Caenorhabditis elegans: one gene and its partners. The protein of the gene in region 2 interacts with the protein of the main gene of each other region in a pairwise test. Each region holds a gene or a part of one and is shown on either strand. Other genes may lie near its edges.

What was found. Proteins that work in one complex are often made in the same cells at the same time.
Region 1: the proteins of ced-12 (region 2) and ced-2 interact in a two-hybrid assay, tested with the Caenorhabditis elegans proteins (one study listed by BioGRID).
Region 3: the proteins of ced-12 (region 2) and ced-5 interact in a two-hybrid assay, tested with the Caenorhabditis elegans proteins (2 studies listed by BioGRID).

The regions. Positions count from the first base shown.
Region 1 is NC_003282.8:1,595,421-1,602,156, forward strand, and holds ced-2 (Cell death abnormality protein 2), read left to right. Parts: upstream 1-1,897; 5' UTR 1,898-1,899; coding exon 1,900-2,338; intron 2,339-4,757; coding exon 4,758-4,960; intron 4,961-5,751; coding exon 5,752-5,949; 3' UTR 5,950-6,201; downstream 6,202-6,736. Other genes in the region: npp-8 (Nucleoporin_N domain-containing protein), read right to left, coding at 1-91, 151-385. UniProt on the Caenorhabditis elegans protein: Required for cell migration and engulfment of cell corpses but not for programmed cell death/apoptosis. Has a role in the migration of the 2 gonadal distal tip cells (DTCs).
Region 2 is NC_003279.8:10,222,461-10,228,888, reverse strand, and holds ced-12 (Cell death abnormality protein 12), read left to right. Parts: upstream 1-1,879; 5' UTR 1,880-1,895; coding exon 1,896-1,985; intron 1,986-2,574; coding exon 2,575-2,931; intron 2,932-3,269; coding exon 3,270-3,547; intron 3,548-4,203; coding exon 4,204-4,737; intron 4,738-4,783; coding exon 4,784-5,134; intron 5,135-5,179; coding exon 5,180-5,406; intron 5,407-5,457; coding exon 5,458-5,695; intron 5,696-5,774; coding exon 5,775-5,916; downstream 5,917-6,428. Other genes in the region: csnk-1 (Casein kinase I gamma), read left to right, coding at 1-41, 92-150, 514-669; Y106G6E.4 (putative 5-formyltetrahydrofolate cyclo-ligase), read left to right, coding at 6,111-6,350. UniProt on the Caenorhabditis elegans protein: Involved in programmed apoptosis and necrosis. Required for the cell corpse engulfment process. Has roles in the formation of actin halos and distal tip cell migration.
Region 3 is NC_003282.8:10,482,537-10,487,144, reverse strand, and holds the start of ced-5 (Dedicator of cytokinesis protein 1), read right to left. Parts: upstream 3,036-4,608; 5' UTR 3,021-3,035; coding exon 2,990-3,020; intron 2,947-2,989; coding exon 2,590-2,946; intron 2,541-2,589; coding exon 2,347-2,540; intron 2,300-2,346; coding exon 2,163-2,299; intron 2,116-2,162; coding exon 1,898-2,115; intron 1,670-1,897; coding exon 581-1,669; intron 265-580; coding exon 186-264; intron 138-185; coding exon 6-137; intron 1-5. Other genes in the region: F01D4.5 (PHD-type domain-containing protein), read left to right, coding at 3,497-3,602, 3,653-3,837, 3,882-4,025, 4,076-4,295, 4,336-4,352.

The sequences.
Region 1 (6,736 bases), on a different chromosome or scaffold from region 2:
TCGTAATTCCACATATAGAGATTGTTATCAATGACGACCCAAACTCGGCTGATTTGTGTGAAGAATCCCATGCTAAACTCGCTGTGAATATCTGAAAATTCACCAATTTTTCGCTGAAAAACCCCCCCATCGGAAACAATGCTCTCTCACTGCTCATTTGCATTTGAAGCTCTCCGGGTATTGGGATTCGCCGTGTGCTCACAAACTCCGGCGCTCCCTTCACATAAAACTTCTCGCCGAGACCGGAGACGGGCGTCGTGCCGTGTTGTGTGAGGCGATCGAAGAAATCCGATGTCTCCATCATCTGCTCGACGTGGTGTGCCACCTTGTTCGCCGCCGCTTCTGCCGAGTCGGCCGAGCCCAACTCCATAAACGAGACACTCATCTCGGAGGATGGAAAGCTGCTGAAAAAGTCGGAAAATTTTGAGTGATTTTTGATATTTTAACCTTTAAACTTGAAAATTATAGCAAAAAACTGTAAAAAACCCGGAAAACTTCCCGCAAAACGCAACTTTTCGCGCAAAATTCCGAATTCAAATTGCAATGCGGCGCGGAAAAGTGGGCGGGGTCGCGTGTTGCAAGTCCCCCGCACACCTCATCGTGTACTCCTCTCGGACAAGCGCAACAGCTGACAATTTATTTTTGCGTGCAAAAAAAGTCGTTTGTTTGCAATTTCTCACCAGTTTTCGGAGATTTTCTTGATTTTTTGCGGTTGCGCATCGTAAAATACGTATTTAAAATGTGTAAACTTTGGCTCCAGTCGACAAGAAGCTTATGAGTCATTGCCTGGGAAAATTGCTCATCAATTTCCTCATTTTTACGAATAATTGGTGTTTCAATGCGTATAAAAACAAGAAATCGGTAAATTTAGTATGAAATATATTCGAAAATAAAGGTTTTAAGCGTATTTTTCAATTTTCTTCTACTAAAAACCGAACTTTAGCCTAAAAACCTGCTTATTCTGCTCGAAATTCTCGATTTCGCCATGTTTTCCAATTTTTTAACACAGTTTTTCAAAAAAATTCTTCATTTTTCCCATAATTTAGCCGAAAAACTCAACTATTTTGCCCTCTTTTTCCCTAAAACTCGCCATTTCCTACCAAAATTTGAAAATTTTCACTGTGTCCAATCGATTTTTCTTCCTAAAAGTACCATTTTCTCCAATGTTCATTTATTTTTCAGAAATTTTCACTAGAATTACTAGATTTTCTGTGCCAAAACCACGATTTTCAGCAATTTCTTTCTTTAAAATCTTATTTTTTGCCATTTTAAGGTACTTTTCCAACGAAATTCCTGATTTTTTGATTTTTCCACGCAAGTTTTGGCCGATTTTTAACTGATTTTCAGCATTTTTTCAGCCAAAAAAACATCCATTTTTGTTCATTTCCTGAATTTTTTAAATGGAAATTCCTTGATTTTCTTGGAAAATCACGCTAATTATTATTCAATTTCCAACTTTTTCATCCAATTTTCTGCCTATATTGACTCGTTTTCCTTTAAAAAATCGAATTTTCACCCGTTTTTTCACATTTTCAGCAATGTTTAGGTTGAAAATCATATTTTTATTCATTTTAAAATATTTTTTCCCACGAAATTCTTGATTTTTTTTTTGAAGATTTTTGCGTTTTCTTCTCAAAGATGGTGATTTTTGGCCGATTTTCATAAATTTTCGCTCTCAAAAACAAGATTTTAAGCATTTTTCAGCCGAAAAAACTTTCCCCTTTTATATAATTTTTCTTGATTTTTCGTCTTTTTTTTCTGGATTTTTAGGAATTTCTCGTGATTTTTGATGATTTTCCGTCTATTTGGGTTACGTTTTCCAGAAAATTTTCCCAACTTTGACCAATTTTGCGCGCCTAAAAATTCCACGTTTCTAAACAATTTCCCGCATTTTCAGAAATGACGACAAACGGGTTCGATCCATTCGAGTGGCGTTCATTCTACTTCCCAGGAATGAGCCGTGAAGAGGCTCACAAGTTGCTCGGCGAGCCACAAGTATCGATCGGCACCTTCCTAATGCGGGATAGCTCACGCCCCGGTGAATATTCACTGACAGTACGTGAAGCCGACGAGGGAAATGCCGTTTGTCATTATTTGATTGAAAGAGGAGAACCGAAAGAAGATGGAACTGCTGCAGCTGGCGTGAAAATCGCGAATCAGTCGTTTCCAGACATTCCGGCGTTGTTGAATCATTTTAAAATGCGAGTTTTGACTGAGGCAAGCCTGCTGGCCGCCTACAAGAAGCCTATCATTGAGGTTGTCGTCGGAACATTCAAATTCACAGGGGAACGAGAGACAGATCTTCCGTTTGAGCAAGGAGAGCGGCTCGAGATTCTTTGTGAGCTTTAAAGCAGCACTTTTTTGATTAAAGGTGGACTAAACCCTGTGGGGAACTTGCTTTATTGAAATTTAAATTTGCCCATCGAAAACGTCAAAAATTAACTAAAAATCTCAATTTTTCGGCGATTTTAATTGAGAAATGGCTTGAGAAAGTGGTAAAATTTGGCAAAACTTGGTTTTTAATAGTTTTTTTTTTGCATTTGGCTTCAATTTCCCCGAATTTTCAGATTTTTTAATCGAAAAAGTGCTCTTAAAGCTCACAAAGAATCTCGAGCCGCTAAATCAGTGGATTTTTCGGGGATTTCACGAGAAAATTGACATTTCTAGTAGTTTAAATGGCATTTTCCGAACCTTTGTTCTTTCTTCTCTAAGAAGTGCTCGAGATTCCAGAAATTGATTTTTTTTCCAGAAAAAACGTTATAATTGTGAGGAAATCGACATTTTTTCTTGCATTTGGCACTATTTTCTCCGAATTTTTAGATTTTTTAAAGGCGGACCCAGTGGGGAAATTGCTTTAAAACACGCCTATGGGGCCACAATGACAGAATATCATGATTAAAAAATTCAAAAAAATTTCCCTGATTTTATATGATTTTTTGAAAATTGAAAAAAAATCTCAGTTTTCACCTAATTATTTTTGAATTTCCGCCAATTGGATTTTTTCAATGGAGCGCGCTTGCATTATTTTCATTAATTTTCAAAATTTTATTTCTTCTCATTATTGGACTGATTTTCTTCATTTTTTGGAGTTTTTCATCGGAAAATGGAAGAGAAATAAACAAGAAAAATGCAAATTGTTTGTTAAAAATTAACTGAAATTTTCTAAAACTGTGATTTCTTGAGTTCTGACAACGACAAGCCTGAAATTAGTATATTTTACAGTTTTACGCATTTTCAGTTACTTTTAAAAAATCATTTTGCATTTTTCTTGTTGTTTTCTTCGATTTTCCGATGAAAAACCACAAAAAATGAAGAAAATCAGTCCAATAATGAGAAGAAATAGAATTAATTAATGAAAATAATGCAAGCGCGCTCCAACGAACGAGTTCAATTGGCGGAAATTCAAATAGGAATTAGGTGAAAACTGAGATTTTTTCAATTTTCAAAAAATCATTTAAAATCATAAAAAAAAATTTTGAATTTTTTAATCATGATATTCTGTCATTGTGACCCCATAGGCGTGTTTTAAAGCAATTTCCCCACTGAGCGTAGTCCACCTTTAAATAATCTAAAAATACGGAGAAAATAGTGCCAAATGCAAGAAAAAATGTCGATTTCCTCACAATTATAACGTTTTTTTCTGGAAAAAAAATCAATTTCTGGAATCTCGAGCACTTCTTAGAGAAGAAAGACCAAAGGTTCGGAAAATGCCATTTAAACTACGAGAAATGAGTTTTCTCGTGAAATCCCCGAAAATCCACTGATTTAGCGGCTCGAGATTCTTTGTGAGCTTTAAGAGCACTTTTTCGATTAAAAAATCTGAAAATTCGGGGAAATTGAAGCCAAATGCAAAAAAAAAACTATTAAAAACCAAGTTTTGCCAAATTTTACCACTTTCTCAAGCCATTTCTCAATTAAAATCGCCGAAAAATCGAGATTTTTAGTTAATTTTTGACGTTTTCGATGGGCAAATTTAAATTTCCGATTGTTACCATGTTAGTGAGAAAATGAGCAATTTTCAGTAAATTTCCACCCATTTTCTCCTGTTTTTATTGGAAAATGGTAAATTTTGACTGTTTTTCAAGAAAACCAGAAACTTTTGGTAAATTTCCACATTTTTTTAATCCAAAAAGCCGCAAAAATGTTAAAAATTTACGTTTTTCAATGGAAAAATGCGATTTTCTACAAAATTCGCCTAATTTTAACCCGGTTTAGTAGAAAAATGCGAAATTCAGTGCATTATGACTATTTTCCTAATGAAAACAAGAAATTTCAGTCATTTTTACTATTTTCAACTGGAAAATGGAAAGTTTCTGCGAATTTCGACTGTTTTTCACGAAAAAACAACAAAATTCGATCAATTTTGCCATTTTTTCACGAAAAAAACTTTTATTTTATGAAAAAATTCAAAAACCCGGACTCATCGTTGTGAGACCCTGTCCACCCACCCCACTGCGCCTTTAAACTTGTGTCGATTTACGCGGTGTTTTTTTTTGGAGAAACTCTATTTTCGGACGAATTTAAACTGTTTTTAAGGCAATTTTTCACTTAAAACCGCAAAATTATCTGAAAAATAAAATTATAAACGAATTTTATAATGGAAATACGAAATTTTACCTGTAAAAACCATAAAATTTGAAAAAAAAACCGTGTTTTTTGATTTTCTCCCGTTTTTCTCAAGATTTTGTGCATTTTCCAAGTTTTTTTCGGTAATTTTCCTCGAAAATACTAGATTTTTAATAATTTTTTTTTTCCAGCAAAAACGAACCAGGATTGGTGGGAGGCGAGAAACGCGTTGGGAACCACTGGATTAGTGCCGGCAAACTATGTACAAATTCAGATGGAATTTCACAATGACAGAACCTCAAAAGGCGCCAGTCAATCGTCGATCGGAAGCAGCGGAGGTGGCGCCGAACGATTTTCGAGCGCCAGCACGAGCAGTGATAATATTGAGCTCCAGGTGTGGAAAATTGCCGGAAAAATCCACAAATTTCAGATTTTTTGCTGAAAAATTGCGTTTTTTAGTCAATTTTTGACATTTTTCGATGGGAAAATTTCGAATTTCGAGACGATTTTCCTTGTAAATTACAGAATTTTAATGGGAAAGTTGGATCTGAAATTTCTCTTTAAAAATTTGCTCAATTTTTACCGTTTTTAGTGAAAATTCGGTCATATTTTGAAATTTTCACTGAAAAAAAAATGGAAATTTCAGTCAATTTTTAACATTTCTAGTGGAAAAATCGAAAATTTCCTAATATTTCGACCATATTCCAAGAATAAACGAAGCATTTCAGGCAACTTTGACATTTTTTCACGGAAAACACCAATTTTTAGATTTTTCTATTGGAAAATGCGAAATTTCAGTCAATTTCCATCTTTCTAATGAATATTCAATGATTTTTTATTAATTCTAGTTGGAAAATGTCAAATTTCAGTGAATTTCGGCTGTTTTTGTCAAAAAAAAACGAATAATTTCGATCAATTTTGACCTTTTTACTTAAAAAAACTTTTTTTTTTTCTCAAAAAATTTAAAAATCCGGCTCATCGCTGCGAGACCCTTCCACCAACCCTACTGCGCCTTTAAACTTGTGTCGATTTACGCGGTGTTTTTTTTCGGAGAAACTCTATTTTCAGGCCGTTTTCAAGTTATTTTCCACCTAAAATCTGCAAAATTAACTGAAAAATGAAATTATTAACGATTTTTATCATGAAAAACATCTCCTAAACCGAAAAAAAAATTCAATATTTCAGCCCCGTCTGCCAGCAAAAGCCAAAGTGACGTTCGATCGTGTCCCAAACGCCTACGATCCGACCCAATTGCGTGTGAAAAAGGGGCAAACAGTGCTTGTAACTCAGAAAATGTCCAACGGAATGTACAAAGCGGAACTCGACGGCCAAATTGGCTCGGTGCCTCATACATACCTCAGATTCACCGCCGTCAGCGAATAAAATCGTTTTTTTTTTCTAAATTTTTAACCTTGAAATTTATTGATTCGCTTGCCCCTCCACCAGTTTTCCTCTAATACATTACAGCTTTACCATAGAAAAAAATCGTTTTTTTTTCCAAATTATATTTATAATGATATCATGCACAATTTTCGTTGCCTTTTCCGCCCACCGAACCCCAATTCGTGTCCATTCCATTTTGTTCACTTTTCCCTTTCAACCTGCCGGATGATTAATAAACCGTTTTAATTATGATTTTTTCGAATTTTTGTTGGAAAATGAGGTGCTATAGAGCCTCTGAGAGTACTTTTTAAGAAAAAAATGTCATAATTTTGGAGTTTTTTTCAAAGTTTTGAAAATTTACTTGAAGATTTCCAGCAAATTGCAAAAAAATCCGATTTTTCGACGTATTTTGGTGAATTTTCGGCCTTTTTTTTTCGAATTTTCTCTGAAATTGCAATAAATTCTGGTTTTTCAGGCTAAAAAACGGTCAATTTTTTCTATTTTCAACTGGAAAATGGAAAGTTTCTCTGAACTTCGACTGTTTTTCACGAAAAAACAACAAATTTTGATCAAATTTGCCATTTTTTCACGAAAAAAACTTTTATTTTATGAAAAATTCAAATACCCCGGGCCATCGTTGCGAGACCCTTTCACTCTCCATACTGCGCCTTTAAACTTGTGTCGATTTACGCGGTGTTTTTTTTTTGGAGAAACTCTGTTTTCTGTCGAATTTAAACCTTTTTCAAGCTATTTTTCACTTAAAAACGGGAAAATTAACTGAAAAATT
Region 2 (6,428 bases):
TTCCCTTCATACGTCAGAATCGAAAGATGTGAAAAGGACTGGTAAGATTTGATTTTAATTGAATAATCTCCTCAATAAGCTGAATTTTCAGACCGTGGAGAGCTGAAAGTCAGTCAAGCAGCTGCTCATGCTCAATTTGGATCTACTCAGGTTCGTATTTTGGATGACTAGGTTTTTGCAAATTTTTTCAAACTAAAACAGTGGAAATCTATTAAAATTGTTTCAATATGAAAAAAAAAATTTCGAAAACGAAAAAAGGAACTTCTGGTTTTTTCATAGAAAGTCGAAAGATCGAAATAATGCTTACTTTAGAAAAATTTTTTTTAATTTTTCATGAAATTTTGTTTGTTGAAAAGAAAAACCAATTTCTGCTTCAAAAAAAAAAGAGATCGTCGTTCTTCGAGAAAAAAGTCTAAAATTATTAAATTAAAAAGGTTTTTTAATTAAAATTTTTCACTTTACAATTTTTTTTTGAAATATAAAAATATAAAACTCATGTATTTATAATTTCAGGTGATTAACTCGAATGCCGGTGAAGTTGTTGAAGAGAGTCGAAATACGGAAGGACGAACAGCTGCAGGAGACAATTCAAGTGGAGAAGTGAAATGCTGTTGCTTCAGGAGACGTCGGAGGAAGCACAACAATGCGACCCCAGCTACACAAAAATAGCACAAGCTAAACGGATAGATGCCATTCCATCTCAATTATCCCACCCCACTATCCACATTCTTCGTCCCCATGCTCCCCCGCGCGCCTCGAAAATACTTTCCCCGTCATCATTTCCGTATCTGTGATGATTCAAAGTGTGTGCACCAAGACGACTTTCTTTCTTTGCTCTTCTTTTTTTTATAATTTTATTCATTCTTCTATTTCAAGAAAGGTTGCTCCCCCGTCTTCAGGTACACATTTGTTTATTGTTTGTTTCTTTTCTATTCATTTTCGATAATTTTCTACTCCTCTTCTAGTTGCTCACACTGATGCACATCCGATATAGTTCGAAATGGAGAAACTCTTCCTTCAGGAATAGTAATCGGATTTGAATTTTTACTCTTCCAAATACATTCAATTATTGCATATATATCTTTAAGTACCCCAAGCATCCCCCCACTCGAATTAAACCTATCAAAGTGTTGTTTTCCAAAGAAAAAAAGCAAAAGAAACCGATGTACGTTCCCACACCCACCCAAAATCCACTCCATTCTTCTTCTTCAATTATTTCAATTTCATCCTCATCATCAATCGTTTTACCCCGGATTCCCCCACCAGTTACTTTTTACCCAATTCTTCCATATATTTTATATACGTCTTCAATTCTCAACCAATATAGCGTGGTGAAAAAACTTGTGATTTTGCATTATTTAACTCTTTTTCTGTTCTTTCCTATTTCCTTTTTCATCAGTTTTTCCACACACACACACACACCTTTGGAATTAAAAAAAAAACTTTTTTTTGCTCGCTCATTCAATATTGCAGCTAATTTTTTTTTTGTTTTTTCGTGTCTTCTCCAATTCTCAACAAACACACAAAACTTCAAGATTCATAATTTACTGGATTTTTATCGATTTCTTATGGTTTTTCTTTTCTTTTTTTCTCAGATCCCCAATTTTTGCCCCCAAATTCCCCCCACAAACACCCTGACTTTTTCTCACCTATCACTATGATTATTTTATTATTATATATTTTATATTATTTATGTGACAAAAAGAATGAATTCCATCCATGTGAATGACCTATTGTTGCATATTTTAATGTCGTTGTTGTGTTTTTTTTTTGTGTAGAATTTAATGTTCTAGATGATGTGTTTATGTGACTCACTGTCTTCTTATCTCTATTTCTCACAGCACTCTTGTGTGTTGTCCCCGAGAAGAATCATTTGATCATCATTAATCGATAAAATGCCATCTTCCTATACTCAGATGGCGTTCCATATGCCATTAAAGGAGTTACAACCAGTTGACACATCACTTCCGGAGCACGTTGTCAAGGTAAAGGGAGTTCTGAGAAAATTTTTTTTTAAAGGAAAATTGAATAATAATAATAATAAAAATACGCTGAAAACTAGAGATTTATCAAAAATATATTCCCAGAGTAAATTTAAAATGAAGAAAATCCCATCAAAAAATTATTTGAAAGATGAAATTTTTCCAGAATATTTAAATAAAATATCAAAAAACTGAAACAGAAATTTTCGATTTTTTTAAATCGATTAAATATTCTGGAAACTATAGAATTTTTTAAAATAAACAAATAAGTGTACTTCGATTAGAAAAAATTAATACAATTCCTTTGAAACAAATACCGAAAACTATTCAAATTGTTTAATTTTTGCAGATAAAATTTAATTTTTAAAAAAACTTCCTTATACTTGAAATTTGAATAGTGGCCGTACAAAATCTAGCACAACTATGTGTCTGTGTCACAAGTATTTGTCGATTTAAGCCGCTCCTGTACTCCCCGAGGAGTTCAGGAGCTACGCTAGATTTTTCAAGAGAGGTTGGTTACCTTCGGAAAAAAAAAGAATTTTCAATTTTGAATAAATTGTTTGACTTGAAAACAAAAGAATCCAAATTTCAGGGTGCCGTAGTGATTGACAAAGAATTTACAATATGGAATCATCGAGCTGTAATTCCATCAAATGCTCTTCACACAGTATTCATAACAATCAATTTATTGGAACAAAAACTGACGGATGTCGTGAAAATGGCAGCTCGATCAATGAATTTATCAGAAGATGATTCGTATGGATTGATGGCTGATAAACCGAAAAGATTCATAACTGATGATAATTTGAATTCATTAGGAAGTGGTTTCATATTAACACTTTGTGCATCACCGGATCATTATGTTAAACGGATTACTGAAATATTGACAGAAGGAAATAATATTTCACAAATGGAAAATGCTGTGAAAACTCTCGATGAGTTTTCTCTGGTAAGATTTTTTATTTCAATTTACCAGAAAAATCAGCAGTCTAAAATATCCATCATTATGAAAATTTTACTCCAAAAGTACAGTGCCCGGTTCCAAGCTGGCCTGTCGGTTTTTCGATTTTTGTTTTACTTGAAAAAACGAAACTTTTTCGACAAAAAAAACGAAAAAAAAAACTTAGAATGTAAAAAAAAAATTCAATTTGTTCTAAAATTTTGTTTTATGTTGAAGAAAAAGCCAAAATTTTCGAAAATTTGCAAAAAAAAAATCATGGAAAACCGGCACCCTTGCCCCCAATCTACAACCACATTTTCCTAATATTTTTTTCATTTAAATTTCAGGATCCCGCTCTAATTGAAGCCTTTTATCGATGCTCATCTCTTGAACTCTTGTTCAGTTTAATTCGTGATGATCGAGTTTGTATGAGCTCAACACTTCTTTCAACATGTCTTCGTGCACTTTCAAGTATGCTGGAATTAGCTGTAGGAGATTTTACATGGAAATCAGTACCAAATGATGTAGTTGTGTCTATGGCATCATTGGTAACTGGAAAAGCGAAACGAGAAGAAGCGAACACGTTGTTAGCTGCTCTTCAGATGCTCGAACAGCTTGTTATCGGGTAAGTTTTATTTAAAAAATTTTTATTTTTTCCAGAAAAAAAACCAAAAACTTTTTTCACAAGAAACGAAAATAATCCATTTTTTCAAAAATTACAATCTTTCAAAAAACACGAATGACTAAAACTTTCTATTTTCTAAAAAAAAAACTACTTTTTAAAAAGAATATCAAGAATTCCAACAAAAAATCCAAAAATCGGATTTTCCCCAAAAAAAACCATTTTTCTAGAAAAAAATTTCAAAATACAATTTCACACCAAAACTACCGAACAATCTTTTATTTTACAAAAAAAACGGAAGAAAAAATCACAAACCATCAGAAAAAAAAATTTGCAAAAAAATTAATTTTAGCCAAAAAAAAACTAACTATTTAATCCTCTTCACATAGAAATAAAACCAAGAAAAAAAATTTTTTGCTAAATATAATACCGAAAAAAAGTCACAATCATACATTTTTCAAAACAAAAACATAAAAATCAACTTCATCAACAAAAATTCCAAAAATTCATTTTTGCCAAAAAAAAACCTATCAGTTTAGCTTAAAATACTTAAAATATAGATTTTTCCAATTTTTTTAATCCAAAAAAATCAACAAAACAACTCCAAAGTACAAAAGAAATTAGAAGTACCATTTTTCTATTTATTGTATAATTTACAGTGACGATACAACTCGTGATTGGATTCTCGAAGAAGTTCCAATAGAGACTCTCATTCGACACGTTGAAAAATCAGATGAACGAATTGCTCTTTGTGCACTTTCACTAATGAATTCAATGATAAGAAGATGTCCTGATGATGAAAAACGATTTGAACTTATTAAATCTTTAGAAGTCGTTCCATTCCGTAATGCTGTACACAGTTCTCTTCTACGTGGTGGTGGTGGTGTTCGAAATCTGAATGCTATTGAACAACTTGTTGAGGTTCAAAGGAGTCTGATTAGTGCATATGAAACTTCACCTCCTACTGATGCTGAAGTTCAGAAAATTCTTGATATTGAATCCAGTGAGGATGTTTCCGAGGAGATCAGAGAAATGTGGAAATCACAAATTGGGGAACACCGATGTGGACGGTTGGCTGCAATTTCGATGGTTCAATTTGCAGAAAAAAGTCCGCAAGATCTGAGAATGCTAATTTCGGAGAATACAATGAGGATTGAAGGAGGAAAATGGCAACTGATTCCAATGTGGATGAGGTTTTTTTGCAAACGTAAAGATGTTCTGATGATTTTTTAAATTCAGGTGCTGTGACATTGCCGCAGAATTGTTCAGAGTAATACCTGGTCGTGATGAGTTGGATCGTTTGATTGTAGTTCTCTTTTCCACGGAGACTCCATTTCCAGCTGTATTCGCATGTATTGTACACCTTTTCCATCGAACATGGCGTGAGATGCAGGCAAAAGGAGGTGAAATGGAGAAAGTTGCGTGTGTTGTACTGGAACAGTTACGGCATGTGCTGAAAAGACGGGAAATACAAGATGTAGAAGAACTATCTGCGGATTTGGAGACTTTTTCGTATAGGGCAATGCAAGAAATTTGGAGAGAGGAACAATTGGGAAAGGAAAATATTCAATTACATAGTGAAGCTGTGATGTAAGTCTGAAAATTCCAATAACTTATTCGTATACATATTTTCAGACAACTAAAATCGAAATTGCGGCCAAAAATGGAGGAATTGGTTCGAATAAATCATCTAAACTATTTGAAGTTAGGCGCCGTTTTTCGAAAACCACAGAAAAGTAAATCCCTCGCAAAGCTCGCCTTCTGGCATTGGAAGCTCGATGCATCGGAGAAAATGCTCACTATAACTGGATGTGATGGTGAGAACTATGTGGAAGGTGTGCAGAGAGATGATATTCGGCAAGGTTGGGGGAATATTGAATTAGTTCTCAAATAATAAATTAATTTATTTTCAGTTTGGATCAAAGATATTGCTGATGTAACAAATAATGATGAGATTGATAGAAAAGCAAGCTCATCTCGATTCACTTCTTCTCCATCTACACAAATGTTAAGAGGGATTCGTGTACAATTAAAAACAACAAATGATATGAAAGAAGGCGAAGTTTTAATGGCATTGACATCCGATGAAACTCAATCTGTTATATGGCTTGAAGGTCTTGCTGAATTGATTGGGAGCAAGGCAGTTAAAAGGTATCTAGACATTGGTTACTGTAGTTACAGTAACCTGAAGAATAGGAAGCCCCGAAAATACCAATTGAAATATTTTCAGTGAAACCGATGCAATGGTTGAACGAATGCTGAAAATGGAGCTACGAGTTCGCCTTCTCAATGTGAAACTCACGAACCCCGAGGAGAAACCAGAAATTCCACCGATCCCTGACGATATCAAAAGCTTTATTTCAAAGTTTTAATCATATTCAAGCTTTATCATTCTTACGTGCATTTTACCATATTGAAAGGCAAAACATTTCCATGTGCATAATAAATTTTGTAATTTATGCCTATTACTGTGTATTTAACTTAATTTGAATAACGAGCCATTAACTACAGGCCACTAACAGTTTTCTGAATCTCTTGAAAACAAATTTTTGACCAACATTTTCAGATGAGTGCTATAAAAGAGGTAAAATCAGAGCTCAGGCAGTTTATGAAGACATTGCTCGGAAAAATTTCGAAAGAAGAAACTCAACGTCAAACAGAGGCGGTTTTTGAAAAAATAATTGAATCGAAATGGTTTCAAGAGAGCAAGAGATTGTCAGTTTATGTTAGTACATCGGGAGAAATACAAACTGATTCGATTATTCAAAAAGCGTTGGAAATGGGAAAAGAAGTTTTCATTCCACAGGTAAAATTTATTTTGAAACAGATGCGCAATAGATGTTAAGATGTAGGCATGTAGGTAGGCACATAGGCAGGCAGAAAT
Region 3 (4,608 bases), on a different chromosome or scaffold from region 2:
CGTACTTTATTCCACATTTCTTCGACACGACAACTAATTTGAAGAGAGGACCCATAACTTTGAATGCATTTCTCGCTTTCTCATTTGAATCTTCTGAATCCGAGATGACATAGTGATTGAGACACTTTAGAATTTTTCTGGAAACAAAGGAATTTGAATTATACGTGTAATCTATGAAAACTTACAGTGCCGCTGAAGTAAATGAAAATCGTTTCAGATACACTTCGAATATTTTTGCAGCCTGTGGGTAGTGTCGTGGCTCCTCTGAAATATTAAAATAAATAACTTTATCCAAAAAGAAATATTTGAAAAAAAAATTTATGGTCAGCTGCACCGCTAGTTTTTTTTTTGATAAAAAAATTTTATCTTAAGAAAAATTTCTCGGAAAAAATATGGCAAGAATTTCAAAATTTCATTCAAACATTTTTGGCGGAGAATTCAAATGTTCTCTGGCAATTTTTCGACGGATAATTCAATTTTGTCAGGAAACATTTCAGCGAAAAATTGTAATTTGCTTAACAAATATTTTCGCCGGAACTTTTCTCTAACTGAACAAAATGTCAGAAAGCTGTACACTTACCACAAATTCTTAAAACCGCCACGATAACATCAAAAACGACTTTCTCCGAAGTCTCACGATCATGCCAAATTTCAAAGAGTGCATCCAATAAATGTGAGAAGAATCGAATCATTTCGTGTTCCGTATCTCCAATTGGTTGAGCAAGAGCCACCAATGAAGATGTAAGGTTGACACAATTTACACGCCATCTCAACACATTCAACAAATGCTCATTTTGAGTTAACATTGAAGAACATGAATGAGTGGATATCATCACAAAACTTTTATCACTCAAACTAAAACCCTGTGAATGAGGTTTCGCGCTTCCAATTGATTCTTTGAGTGTTCTTCTGGTATCAGGTAAGTTCATATAATGTACATTTGATTCATCAAAGTGAGATCCTGGATTATCAATTTTGTAGACAGCCAAGTCATGTTCACCATCACAGAGTAGAGCACTACTTCGAATGAGTTGAACATGTGCAATTGCAAATGGTCCTTTTTCTGGTTTTGGTTTGTCATATGCTTTCTTCGAATAAAATAAGATCCGAAGGTATACATCATGAGAAGCACATGAGGGAAGAGCAATTTTTATTGGTTCCGTCCACATTGGTTTGTCAGTATGATAAACTACAATACTCTTGTAGACAGTGCTAAGTTGCGAACCAGTAACCGAAATAGTCTCAAAAACATTTTCCATAACATGTCCATTTGATTCCACGACATGAAGACGTGCCTCAATGTTACGATCAGATGATTTTCCAGATAATTCAGCCTGCATTAAAGTAATATACATCTCATTTCGACTATCTTCAATTGAAACTGCTGTTCTATCAGCTCTTCGTAGAATCGCCGCTGGACATCTACTGAACAAATGTGGGTGTCTTGCCTTGATTTGAGAAACATTTCCAGGAACTAATTGGGTACTTATCAATAGTTTTGTTTCCATATCGTTGCTTAAATTCTTCGGTATACGATTTGTAGCGTGATATGCTTTTAGAGATAATGGAAGTTCTGGTTCTCGATTCAGGAAAATTACACGTTCTTTTGCTTCGTGGCCAACACCAGCAAGAAAGATGCTTGACATTTCCATGATGTCCGAGGCGTACGCTGAAAGTAGCAGCAATAAATTTTTGTATTCCAACCAGGGTTGCGCGGCAATTACTAACCGGTAATTCTACAAAATCAGGCAGTGGGCATGTTCTTCCAATATTTTTCATTAAAATTTAGTGATATTGATAGGCGAAAATAAAAATAAAAAAACCAATTTTCGCCAAAAATTGGCGAAAATTACTGGGAGAACATGCTACACTAGCTCATTTTGTGATTTAAACTCACATTGCCTACAATAAAATGTCTTTGGTATAGTTGCTTCGTGATGTCCATGCTTTCTCATCGTAGCATTAGAAGATTCAATCGGTGATACATGAACAACTCGAGTTACCATCAAATACTTTTTCTGAATATCTTCTTTTGCAAAATCAGTGAACAGTGCTTTCAAATTTAAATCCGTGTGTTTTCCACTACCGCTGTTCCAGAGAAATGTATAACTATCTCTGAAAATAATGCAACTATTGTCTTTTTCAGAAAAATTGTGAGTTACGTGGTGAACATTTTCTTGTCCAGATCATATAGTGATATGCTTATTTCACAGGAATATTTACAATGGAGTTCGACAGATTTAATGGAGAGCAGCAATGAGAAACTATCGTTGATTGTAACATTTTCAGGTTTCTCCCGCTGAAAATTTGAAAAATATATTGCTTGTAAGAGAAAAAATAGTATACCATCAATGATCCGACCCTTCCTTTCGAAGAAATGTGTGCTTCATATGTTCTAAGAAGTGAAAGTGATTCAACGTCAAGCGGAACACCCTCTTCATTGCGAATCACTACATCTTGGCCAAGAATTGTATTTCCACGGTCTACCAGTTTTGAAACGCGCAATCGGAGTTTGCTCAACTCTTCAATTGGAATCCCACCTAAAAGCATAATTATTTTACTATATTCCTGATAAAGAAACAAAATTACCACTTTCGATTTTAGTTTTTATTATTAGTAGTTCATTAAAACTATCCATCAAGTCTTCGAATGATCCAATCCTTGTCGTTTCCACCATCAATTCTTTAATTTTGGTCCACCATTCATTAATAACTCTGGAAATTTCATCCACAACGAGATATCCGTCACTTGTCGATACGAACATGGACTTTTGAACGATTTGTACATAGGCAAGTGGAAAAATCCCACATTTTCCATTTTTCTCGTCAAATTTTCGACCATATCCCCACTCTCCGTGCTGCCCGTAAACACATATTCGATCGCCAATAAAAAGTTCTAATCGTGGAGCATCACAAGATGGAAGCGGATCCTCAAATGTGTATTGAACTGAAAAATAAGATATTTAAATAGTTGCGAAGTGAAAACAAACCGATTGCATAATAGAAACCCGTCGTTGCCATTACGAACTCATTTATCTGAAGATTTAAGCTTGAATTTTCAATTAAAACGGACAATTTAATTTAAAACTACGTTATATTAATTTAAAATATCAAATATAAATATACAAATCAAAACGGAGACAGTTTCTGTGAGAAACAAACGTAAATATCACGAGAACTGTTTATTTCTGATGAGTAACTGTTTATCCGAGAGGAGTCCACAAACCGTGGCCGAGGATTTATGCTTGTGGAACCTAGGCCATTGTTGCCGGGAGAATGAATTTGGAAGTCAATTGGCAGAATAACCGTATACGTTTTGGATTCCATTGAATTTTTAACAGTTTTAAATTTAATATTTTAATAGTTAATGTATAACAAAACCGATAAAATGCATGTTTTGTCATAAATATAATGTGAATATCTATATTTTATGGTAACTTCGTGTTATATTTTTAAATTTTTTTCTATAGAATCAGAAAAAAAATTCCAGAAAACCAATGGAAATTGATGATCTAGAATCTACATCAAATTCAGTGCATAAATCACCACCCAAAAAACGGAGACGTGTGAAGAAGAAGAAAAGAAATGAGGAAGATGAAGAGTGTAAATTGGTTTTTATAATAAAAATATTTTTTCTTCACTTTGATTTACAGACGAAGAGAACAAAAATATGGCCACTCAAATAAATCAAAAATTTGGTTCAAAGTATAAATCAAATAGAAAAGATGAGACTCCGATGTTTGAAGTGAGAAATGGAAAATCAGTTATCAAAAATTCGGGGAATCACGAAGCAACTGTCAATCGAACTTTGGATTTTCACATGACAAAGCTTTTTCAGGTACGATTAAAATGATAAATCTAATTTTTATTATTAATTTTCAGTGGGAAGAGCAGTCAGACGCCATTGAATCTTCCTATGTGTGTGCATTGTGCCACGAAAATGGAGAGAAACGAGAACTTTTTGGACCATATTATGCAACACATAATCCAATTAAATATTGGCCATCTTTCCTGGCTAAGAAACCTGTAACAACCCATCCCATTCTCTAAAATCTAAAAATTAATTAACTTTTCAGACTGCCAAAAAACCTACAAAAATCGAATTATGGTTCCATGGCTCATGTGTTTTATGGGCTCCAAATGTGCATCTTCACGGCAATCAGCTAACAAATCTGGATAATCAAATCGATATTTTCTGGTCTCAAACGTGCATAGTTTGCCGCAAAACTGGTGCCGCAATTTCTGTACAAAATAAGAAAAACACGTTCATTCATTACCCATGTGCCAAAAACAAAGGTACAGACATTCCAGACAAAATACCTCCCACTCTTATCAGTTTTTTACAGGCTATAAACTCGACGAGCACGCTCTCTTGTGCAATTCGTGAAAAATCGATTCTCATTTCTCATCAAACAAGTTTTGCTTTTCAATTATGTTTTTTTTTCATTTTTTACATTCTCATGTCCCATGTTTTACCAATTGCACACTGAAACAACGAAATAAAAGATTTCAGTTTTATAATACAAATTTAATTTTATTGAAACTCCACATTTTCGCAACACTTGAATAACGATTCTTGTTATTATTGGGATGCAGAAAATTTCCTCTT